2 linked regions of the Macaca mulatta genome follow. The main gene of each other region encodes a partner of the protein of the gene in region 2 in a complex. Links are inferred from orthologs where the notes say so. Each region holds a gene or a part of one and is shown on either strand. Other genes may lie near its edges.

Region 1 (4,537 bases), on a different chromosome or scaffold from region 2:
GACTCTGTCTCAAAAAAAAAAAAAAAAAAGAAAGAATTTTGAGAATTCTAATAGATTATTCTTGTACTAATTACAAATATGTATTTGAATAATAGATTCAGACTGTTGATTTTAAGATGAAATCTCATTTGTATTGACACATTTAAAAGTACTCATGACTCAGTATTCTTATAAATTTATTATATTTACAAGAATTACACAAGGACTTGAAAGGCTTTGCTAGACAGAAAACTGATACTTAGAAAAATGAATTAAATTTATAAATGCAGTTTCAAATGTTCAAAGAATTTTAATTAGCTAAGTTTATTAATGGGACCAAATAAGTGATATAATTTACTAGATTTATGAATAAAACTGTAAAATTTGGCTGTGCGCGGTGGCTGCCTGTAATCCCAGCACTTTGGAAGGCTGAGGCGGGTGGATCACGAGGTCAGGAGTTTCATGGGTTGGAGGTCTCAGGATAATAAAGAACTGTTGTAGTTGGGGGTGGGAGGTGGAAGAGAGTCATCAAGCAACTGGAATTATAAGAACCTCAGCATAAAGAGCTAGTACTAGAAATTCGGGAGGCCACAATCACAGTATCAGGGACGTAAGTAAGGGAATGGATGTCCAACTGGAAAGAAAGGAACGTCACTGGAGACGAGAAGGAAATCAGACCTGATAAGCCAGAGTGCTACTTTAGATGAGTGGCCACTATTTTGCACAATGTAAGCGGGGCACTGCTCACATGAACGTCTACGTGAATGGCGCTCCCAGGCCTTGTGCAGTGCATAACCTGCGGACCCGTATGAGATGAACCTGCTAGATCCCCAAGTACCCAAGAACTGATGACAGGAGTTCGTGTGGGGAGATGAGACAGGAGGTAAAAAAAAATAAAAATCCTTGGTAAGCAAAGATTTGTCATAATTGTGGAGTATTTACTATATGCTTGGTAATGTTCTAAACACTCTCAATAACCCTGTGAGTTCAATATTTTTATTATCATCTATACTATTTAACAGATGAAAGAAGCAAAGGAAATGACAGCCGGTCTTGAGCACACTCGTTCAAAAGCGCCACACTCTACACCGTAGAGTCTACAGCGCAGAGGAAACTAACTGCTCAGCGCGCTCACCGCCCTCCTTCCGCGTCCAGGCGTAGCGCAAGGTCACGTGCCGGCGCGGGGCGGGGCCAGCGGGGCGCCTTCGCGCCTGCGCGCCGCTGGCCGACCGAGCGGAGCCTGCCGATGCCGAGCGGGCGCTACGTCCAGCGGTCGGAGCCGCGTTTTCTCCCGGCTCCGCCACCAGCCGGGGCTCGGGTGGGGGCCCGGGCCCCCGGGGCATGGCCCTCCGGAGTGCGCAGGGCGACGGCCCCAACTCCAGCCACTGGGACGGCGGCACGGAGAAGGCAGGTACGGAAGCCGACCAGGGCGCCGGGAGCGGCCTGCGAGGGCGGCCCAGGGGGCAGTGGCAGCTGGTGGCGGAGGCGGTGCCGGAGGGGCGCGGGCTGGCGACCCGGGGCTGCGGCGGGGTTCCGGGCGGCGAGAGAGGAAGAGGCGGAGGGCCCGAGGCACGTCTGATGGGGAGAGGGCCTGGAACGGGGGGGCTCGGGCGGGTGCCGAGCTGACCCGAGGGAGTCTGGCGGCAGAGTAGCGTCCCCAGGCAGAAGAGCGGGCGGGAGCTCCGCGCCCCGGCTTTCTTCCGTCTGGAGAGGACCGGGACTCCCCGAGCGCTGGCAGGCCCACCCCGTCCCAGGCGTCCGCCACGTTCGCAGACTCCCGGAGCCGCCTCCCCGAGGGAAATCAGCTCTCCCGAACTTCATTCACTGTCGCCGGCTTGATTGACGCGCTGTCCGCGTACCGCCGATTTAATTACCATACAATTCTCCCTTTAAGGTGCACAGTTCAGTGATTCTTAGCACATTCACAAAGTTGTGCAGCCATCGCCGCTGTCTGATTCCGAAATGAAACCCTTACCCATTAGCAGGCACTCCCCATTCCCCAGTATTCACGAAGCCTGGCAACCACAAATAGACTTTCTGTCTGTCTTCTGCCACCTATTTTAATGTTGATTAGTTGTGTAAAAGCGACCTGGCGCTATGGCTCCCGCCTGTAATCCCAGCGCTTTGGGAGGCCGTGGTTGGAGGATCGATTGAGGCCAGGATTTCGAGGTCAGGCTGGGAAGCATAGCGAGGCCTCATCTCTACAAAAAGTTTTTTTTTTAACGCCAGATGTGGAGGCTTGAGCCTGTGATCCCAACGACTCAGGAGGCTGAGGCGGGAGGATCGCTTGAACCCAGGACTTGGAGGCTACTCTATGATTGCGCCATTGCACTCCAGCCTGGGTGACAGATGGAGACCCTATCTCAATAATGAGTAAATTATTGTATACAAAGCGATTCTATTTTTTTTTTTTTTTTTTTTTTGAGACGGAGTCTCGCTCTGCCGCCCAGGCTGGAGTGCAGTGGTCGGATCTCAGCTCACTGCAAGCTCCGCCTCCCGGATTCATGCCATTCTCCTGCCTCAGCCTCCCGAGTAGCTGGGACTGCAGGCGCCCGCCACCTCCCCCGGCTAGTTTTTTGTATTTTTTAGTAGAGACGGGGTTTCACCGTGTCAGCCAGGGTGGTCTCGATCTCCTGACCTCGTGATCTGCCCGTCTCGGCCTCCCAAAGTGCTGGGATTACAGGCTTGAGCCACCGCACCCGGCCGCGATTCTATTTTTATACTCTTTTAGTTTGGACCATTTCTGTGAACTCATGTTTTTGTTGCACATTATGTTCTCAAATGTTTTTCATTCAATAAATACATGACAGTTAAAATTATGAATGTACACCGTGAACCAAGTTAAATAATCTTTTTTCCTTGAGGAAGACTAAGGTGACATTCCCCATTTCCAGTCCTCTGATGGATGGTACCCATAACAGAGCCAAACACGTTATTCAACCCACGTATTTTGAGGAAGCTGCTGGTATTCATATTTTATTTTATATTTTATTTGGGCTCATTTTCTGTTTTTTCCCTTTTTCTCATGTTCTGATACTGAATGAAAGTGGATGGAGCTCTGAACCCTTTGGCACCGTAACCCTTTCATTACTGGTGTTTGTGTGATGTCTGTCCTCAGTGGCATAATAGTCAATGCCCTAGGCAACATGGGTCTTGTGACCTGTTGGCAGTGCAGCTGTGTGTCTGTTGCAAGACTTTACCGCCTCTAGTTTCCTTGATTTTGCTTCTCTGGATGAATGGGACAAATTTAAAAGTGAGGTTTTTTGTTTTTGTTACTGTTTTGTTTTTTAATCATATCAGAGTATTGTTGGCAAAGTTCCTAATGCTTATCCCTCTTTTGTAGCGTTTATGATCAGATTGGTTTACTCACTAGACTGGTTTTTTTCCATTATAGGGGTGAAACATTCTTAAGTCTTTATAACCTGCTTTATGTTCCAGGTAGTTAACAGAATTTTTGCTAATTTGGATACTGTTTTGTAGAAACTACTAGTTAAGACCTCCAAAAACAGAGGCTACTTTGTTTTATTTTGTGTTTAATAGGACTCTTACCCAGACTGAAGAGTCTCTGTGGTCTCCTGCTGTGGTCTTCTGGTACAGACATGGAGTTAAAGCTTTTTTTTTTTTTTTTTTTTTTTTTGAGAGATGGGATCTTGCTCTGTCCCCCGGGCTGGAGTGCAGTGTCACAGTCAAAGCTCACTGTCACCTCCCAACTCCTGGACTTAAGTGATCCTCCTACCTCAGCCTCCTGAGTAGCTGGGACTACAGGCATAAATTTTTAAGTTAATTTCCAATGTCAATGTCAGGAGTTGTGGGTGGGTGTAGGGGGATGTCTGTCTCCTTCCCTCCACAGAAAACGTCCCCAACCCTCCATTGTTTTAAGACTAGCATTGCTTAATGTGAGCTTAACTTCAGTTTAAAGACTGTAAAGCTTTTATGATAATGCAAGCTTAAACCAAATAATCAGTATGGAATTTTGTACTCTCACACGAGATTCCATTATATAAATTAGTTGATCCAAGTTCGTATTTGTTTTGGTGATATGGAAAAATACATGAAAAAACTTTTAGATGAGGCATGGATAGTGGTCATCTTTAGTTGTTATTGTCCCTTCCCTGTATATTAAGTGCCCTAATCCAGGTGATTTTGGACATGCCTATTACTATGAGGAGGCAGAAATCTTTACCTGGATTCTGTAGCCAGAGTTGGGAGAAATGTAAGACAGTAGTGGGTTGTGTCATCTTCATCTGAACCATTAAGAACAACAGTTCAGGCCGGGCGCGGTGGCTCAAGCCTGTAATCCCAGCACTTTGGGAGGCCGAGACGGGCGGATCACGAGGTCAGGAGATCGAGACCATCCTGGTTAACACGGTGAAACCCCGTCTCTACTAAAAAATACAAAAAACTAGCCGGGCGAGGTGGCGGGCGCCTGTAGTCCCAGCTACTCGGGAGGCTGAGGCAGGAGAATGGCGTGAACCCGGGAGGCGGAGCTTGCAGTGAGCTGAGATCCGGCCACTGCACTCCAGCCTGGGTGACAGAGCGAGACTCCGTCTCAAAAAAA
Region 2 (5,050 bases):
CCACTTCTAACTAATCTTTTTTTTTTTTTTTTTTTTTTCTGAGACGGAGTTTCGCTCTTGTTGCCCAGGCTGGAGTGCAATGGCGTGATCTTGGCTCACTGCAACCTCCGCCTGCCAGGTTCAAGCAATTCTCCTGTCTCGGCCTCCCGAGTAGCTGGGATTACAGGCACCTGCCACCATGCCTGGCTAAGTTTTGTATTTTTAGTAGAGACAGGGTTTCACCATGTTGGCCAGGCTCGTCTCAAACTCCTGACCTCAGGTGATCCACCTGCCTCAGCCTCCCAAAGTGCTGGGATTACACGTGTGAGCCACCACATCCAGCCCCTGGCTACTCTTTTTATGTTTTGTAGAGACGGGGTCTCACTATGTTGCCCAGGCTGGTCTCAAACTCCTGAGTTCAATCGATTCACCTGCCTTGGCCTCTAAAAGTGCTGGGATTACAGGGGTGAGCCTGGTCATCCTTTGGTTTAGAATACTATGGTGCTCACCAGATCTTCCCACCAGTCCCGGTCAGGGAGGGCTGATGCCCCCCTCCAGAAAAAGCTAGCCCAAAGGGCTCTCAGCTTGCTGAGTCTAAATTCTCACTTTATGGAGAAAGAAATCAAGACACAGAGAGGGACGTGACCTGCCAAGGCGACAGAGCTGGGTATCCTACCCTGATTTCTGAGACTTCATGGTTTGGTACAGTAGGGGCTATTTAGGGAATCCCCAGTACATGACCTGTGGTATGCCTGGCTTGGCAGGGGAGGCCCCAGAAGTAGAACCCAGGGCACAGTCTAGAACTTGTTAAGTGAAAAACCCATGTAAAGAGACTGATGGCCGGGTGCTGTGGGGTGTGCCTGTGGTCCCAGCTACTGGGGAGGGTGAAGCAGGAGGAGGATCCCTGGAGCCCAGGAGTACATGACCAGCCTGGGTGATGTAGCACGACCCTGTCTCTCTCTTTTTTTTTTTTTGAGACGGAGTCTTGCTCTGTCACCCAGGCTGGAGTGCAGTGGCCGGATCTCAGCTCACTGCAAGCTCCGCCTCCCGGGTTTACGCCATTCTCCTGCCTCAGCCTCCCGAGTAGCTGGGACTACAGGCGCCCGCCACCGCGCCCGGCTAGTTTTTTGTATTTTTAGTAGAGACGGGGTTTCACCGTGTTAGCCAGGATGGTCTCGATCTCCTGACCTCGAGATCCGCCCGCCTCGGCCTCCCAAAGTGCTGGGATTACAGGCTTGAGCCACCGCGCCCGGCCATCTCTCTTTTTTTTGAAATGGAGTCTCACTCTGTCACCAGGCTGGAGTGCAGTGGCACGATCTCGGCTCACTGCAACCTCCAACTCCCGGGTTCAAGTGATTCTCCCGCCTCAGCCTCCAGAGTAGCTGGGATTACAGGCACGTGCCATGACACTTGGCTAATTTTTGTATTTTTAGTAGAGATGGGGTTTCATCATGTTGGCCAGGATGGTCTCGATCTTCTGACCTCGTGATCCACCCGCCTCAGCCTCCCAAATTGCTGGGATTACAGGCGTAAGCCACCGCGCCCAGTCCACCCCATCTCTTTGGAAACAACAACAAAAAACCTGTTATGAAGTCACCAGGAAGAGGTGGTCAAGTTGCAATGAAAATTGCACTTAAGGCTGGGTGCAGTGGCTGACACCTGTAATCCCAACATTTTGGGAGCCCGAGCACAAGGATCATTTGAGCCCAAGAATTTGAGACCAGGCTGGGAAACAGATGGAGACCCTGTCTTTACAAAAAATTTAAAAATGTGCCAGATGTGGTGGTGTACCTCTGTATTCTCAGCTACTCAGGAGGACAAGGCAGGAGGAATGCTTGAGCCCAAGAGTTGGAGACTGCAGTGAGCCATGATCGTGCCACTGTACTCCAGCCTGGGTGACAGAGAGAGACCCTGTCTCAAAAAAAAAAAAAAAAAAAAAAAGGTAAAAGGTAATCACATTTAATAATATTAAGTTCCAACTTGTGACTGTGTGAAGTCACACAGTTGAGTTCCCTGTGTGAAGTACTTCAAATGCATCATCTCATTTAATCTTCACAACAGTCCAATGAAGTCAGTTTTATCATTGTCAACTAATGAGGAAACCAGAGGCCAGAGAAGGGAAGTGACTTGCCCTAACTTACACAGTTTTTCGCTTTAAGACTCAAACCAGGTTTGTCAGACTCCAAAGTCCCTGCGAGAGCCTGCTGGTTCCCTTCTCTGTTCCCCTCCCAATCCAGCTCAGAGCTTCACCCTTCCCCAAGGAAATCTGAGACCTGGATGTGGAGGAGAAAAAGGAAGTGGCAGAAGAGGAAGAAGATAACTGATACTTGGGGAAAACTATTAGTCCTGGGCATGAGATGTGGGCCACCTACCCGCAGAGGGAGTGACCAAGAGTGAGGAGAGTTTGAGGACCAGAGAATCCCGCTGGAAGGGGGAGAGCAAATTCCATATTCATCTAAACTTCACAAGCAGTGTGACAGCCAAGGGAAGGGGTGCGACGGTGGCGTTGGGGGCCTGAGCAAAAGCGAGGAGAGGGCGGGAAAGGACGGACCGTCGGGAGCGACAGGTCAGCGTAACCCAGGCAAAGGGTAGGAGGCAGCCCCGGAAGAGAGGACCTGCGGGAGACGGGACTCAAGCGGCGCTTCGGGGCCTCCCGCTTAGTTGGCCAGTTTCTGGGCCGGCCCCAGGAGCCGGGCTTCAGGAGAAAGAGAAGGGTAGAGGGATTCACTGCCCGACCTAAAGGGCCCGAGCCTGAACCCGAGACCAGAAACTATCTAAAGACGGGCTCCCAAACTCCAGGACAGTTGTCAAGCAGCAGGTGGGGAAACTGAGGCCTGAAGTGACCGGGACTGCGGGGTCATCTGACCGATAAGGCCTGGTAGGGCCGGTGTCTCGGGCTCCAAGAGCTGCCCCTCGGGGTCGCCACGTCTGGGCCCCGGGTGTGAGAGCTCGGGGTGTTGAGCCGGGGTCCTGGGGCCCCTGGGGGGAGGGGCAGAACCCGGATGTGAGGGGGGGGGGTCAGCGGAAGAGGGACCCGGATGTGGGGGCGCCGCACAGTCCTGACCCGGGCCAGACAACCCCGGTAAGCGTACAGCCCCGTATTCGGGATCGAGGCTGCGCTGGACGGCGCGGGCGGGGCTCACTCACTATTCGGGGTTCATGGCGGCGGCGGCGGCCCGCTCGGTCGCTCCCAGTCGGCTCTGCTCCGCCTCCCGTTCCAAGATGGTGGCCGCTCCGCCCCAGAGGCCCCGCCCGCGACGCGCAGGCGCAAACGTCCTCTTCTCAGGCCTCGCCGCGCTGGTTCTCGGAACTTGTAGTCTGAGACGTTCTCCAACTCAGCCCCGCTGCGCAGGCGTAGTCGGGGAGCCCGTGCCTCCGCGCCCACTCCCATCACTACTGGCGCATTGCCTTCTGGGGCTTGTAGTTTGCACGCCGGACGCACCTAGGCTTGAGCACGATGCTGGAAAGCCTGACGGCGTCTCGGTGTTTAAAAAGCTCAGTTTAGAGCTGGGCTTGGCACGTTTCACATCTGTCTGACGGAGACAGTCATCCTTACCCTCCCAATACCCACGTTGTGAACATTAAATGAGAATGTGGGATCTAGCAAGACTAGTAAAAGCTCACTTGTCCAGGGTTCCTCGTGTACTGGGCACTCCTAACTCGCAGCCGCGTGTCATCACCCGCATTTCATAGATGAAAAAACTGAGTATCGGGAAACTCACTCAAAGTCAAAAACTTTGTGAAGAGCAGAGCTCGTAAGAGCCCGCGGTCTCCAGAACCCCACAAGTGAACGTTTTAGGGAAAGCCTGACTTGTGGGGCCCCCACCCAGTTCCGGGGTGGGCCAGAATATCTGGGCCCAGCTGCGCGGACAGCGGTTGAGCGAGACACACTGTCCCCCACTCACGCGCGACCCTTCCCGGCTCCACCCGTTTAGAGACGCGGGGGCACCCCGACCTCCGCCTCAAAACAAGCCCGGCTCAGATTCAAACCGTCTTTATTTCTACAGCAACATCTGAAAATAGAGAGCAGCCGCCTCACCCGCAACAGGGGGAGCCCCTCCTGCCACCAAGGGACCGTCGCCGCCCCTCGCGAGAAGCTGCAGGCGTGGGGAGAGGCGTGGCAGGATGGCTCGGTGGGCGGTGCCCGGGGCGGGGTCGGGCCGTGCCTGGGCGGGGCCGGGCGGGAGGGGCAGTGCATAAGGCCGGGATGCGGGGCAGGGCCCGGCGGTGGGAGGACTGACTAAGGGGAGGTCCCCGTCCTGGGGCACGGGGCGATGGCGGGGTAGGACGCATCCCTCAGAGGCCAGGAGGAGCGCGAGAAGGTCCCGGGAGCCACTTAGGAGGCGCCACTCCCGAGAATGTGGAGCCTGGGAGATACCACCGCACGGAATGGGGGTGATTAAGGCCTGGGCGGTACCACTAGAGGAGGGACGAGGGGAGGCCCGGGTAGTACCGTGGACTGAAGGGTGGGGCGCGGCCAATAACTTATTTCTCTATATACAGAAGCAACGGCCGGGTTGAGTTGGGAGGGAGGGCGAAGGTGCCGAAGGGCCGGCGAGTGCTTAGTGTTCTTGGCTCTGGGGTCTGGGGAGGCCAGGCCACTGAGTCTATGGTGGAGACTCCAGCCGGCACCTCCTGCTGGCCCCGAACCTAAGGAAGAGGGCCCTGCTGGAAGGAATAAATAAGGGATCGAGCTGGAGTGGGCAGGCCCAGCCTCCAGGGCTCAGGCTGAGATGACAAGGGAGAAGGTTACCCTGAGATTGAACAGAAAAGACAGGGGCTGTGGGAGAGACAGGCGGGACAAGCAGCAGGCCCATGCGCAGGGCTGGGGTGAGGGGGGTGTGCCAGGTGGGCGCTCTGGTGACTGGCTGCCCCTTCAGCATTAGCCCACCAGGGAGCTTCGTCGGGAGAGGTCCATGGAGCTGGAGCTGAGAGTGCGGCTGTCAGAGAGACCTGTGCCTCCAGGCTGTGGGCAGAGGGGGCAGGTGGCTCAGCCCTGTGCTGCTGCCAGTCTGTGCCTCCCTGGCCTGAAGCGGCCTGACCCGGCAGAGGCAGCCGGAGTCCCTGAGCT

What was found. The genes of interacting proteins can lie anywhere in the genome.
Region 1: the proteins of RAB1B (region 2) and TBC1D20 are in contact, whole or in part, in a crystal structure (PDB 4HLQ), measured with the Homo sapiens proteins. The link is inferred for Macaca mulatta from reciprocal best matches to the Homo sapiens genes RAB1B and TBC1D20. Residues at the interface, in NP_112243.1 of Homo sapiens: Ser17, Gly18, Ser36, Tyr37, Ile38, Ser39, Thr40, Ile41, Gly42, Val43, Asp44, Phe45, Gln60, Trp62, Ala65, Gly66, Gln67, Arg69, Phe70, Thr72, Ile73, Tyr77, Glu94; in NP_653229.1 of Homo sapiens: Gln97, Gln98, Leu101, Asp102, Arg104, Arg105, Leu107, Arg108, His141, Tyr142, Tyr143, Gln144, Gly145, His147, Asp148, Phe177, Met178, Asp179, Pro180, Thr181, Met182, Lys186, Val212, Ile215, Leu218, Ser219, Thr223, His227, Met272, Ala273.

What each region holds. Positions count from the first base shown.
Region 1 is NC_133415.1:83,693,741-83,698,277, forward strand, and holds the start of TBC1D20 (TBC1 domain family member 20), read left to right. Parts: upstream 1-1,210; 5' UTR 1,211-1,320; coding exon 1,321-1,390; intron 1,391-4,537. UniProt on the Homo sapiens protein: GTPase-activating protein (GAP) specific for Rab1 and Rab2 small GTPase families for which it can accelerate the intrinsic GTP hydrolysis rate by more than five orders of magnitude. Also shows GAP activity for RAB18 GTPase.
Region 2 is NC_133419.1:8,145,087-8,150,136, forward strand, and holds the start of RAB1B (ras-related protein Rab-1B), read right to left. Parts: upstream 3,235-5,050; 5' UTR 3,141-3,234; coding exon 3,127-3,140; exon of another isoform or gene 2,278-3,126; intron 1,287-2,277; exon of another isoform or gene 10-1,286; intron 1-9. Other genes in the region: KLC2 (kinesin light chain 2), read right to left, coding at 4,862-4,945. UniProt on the Homo sapiens protein: The small GTPases Rab are key regulators of intracellular membrane trafficking, from the formation of transport vesicles to their fusion with membranes.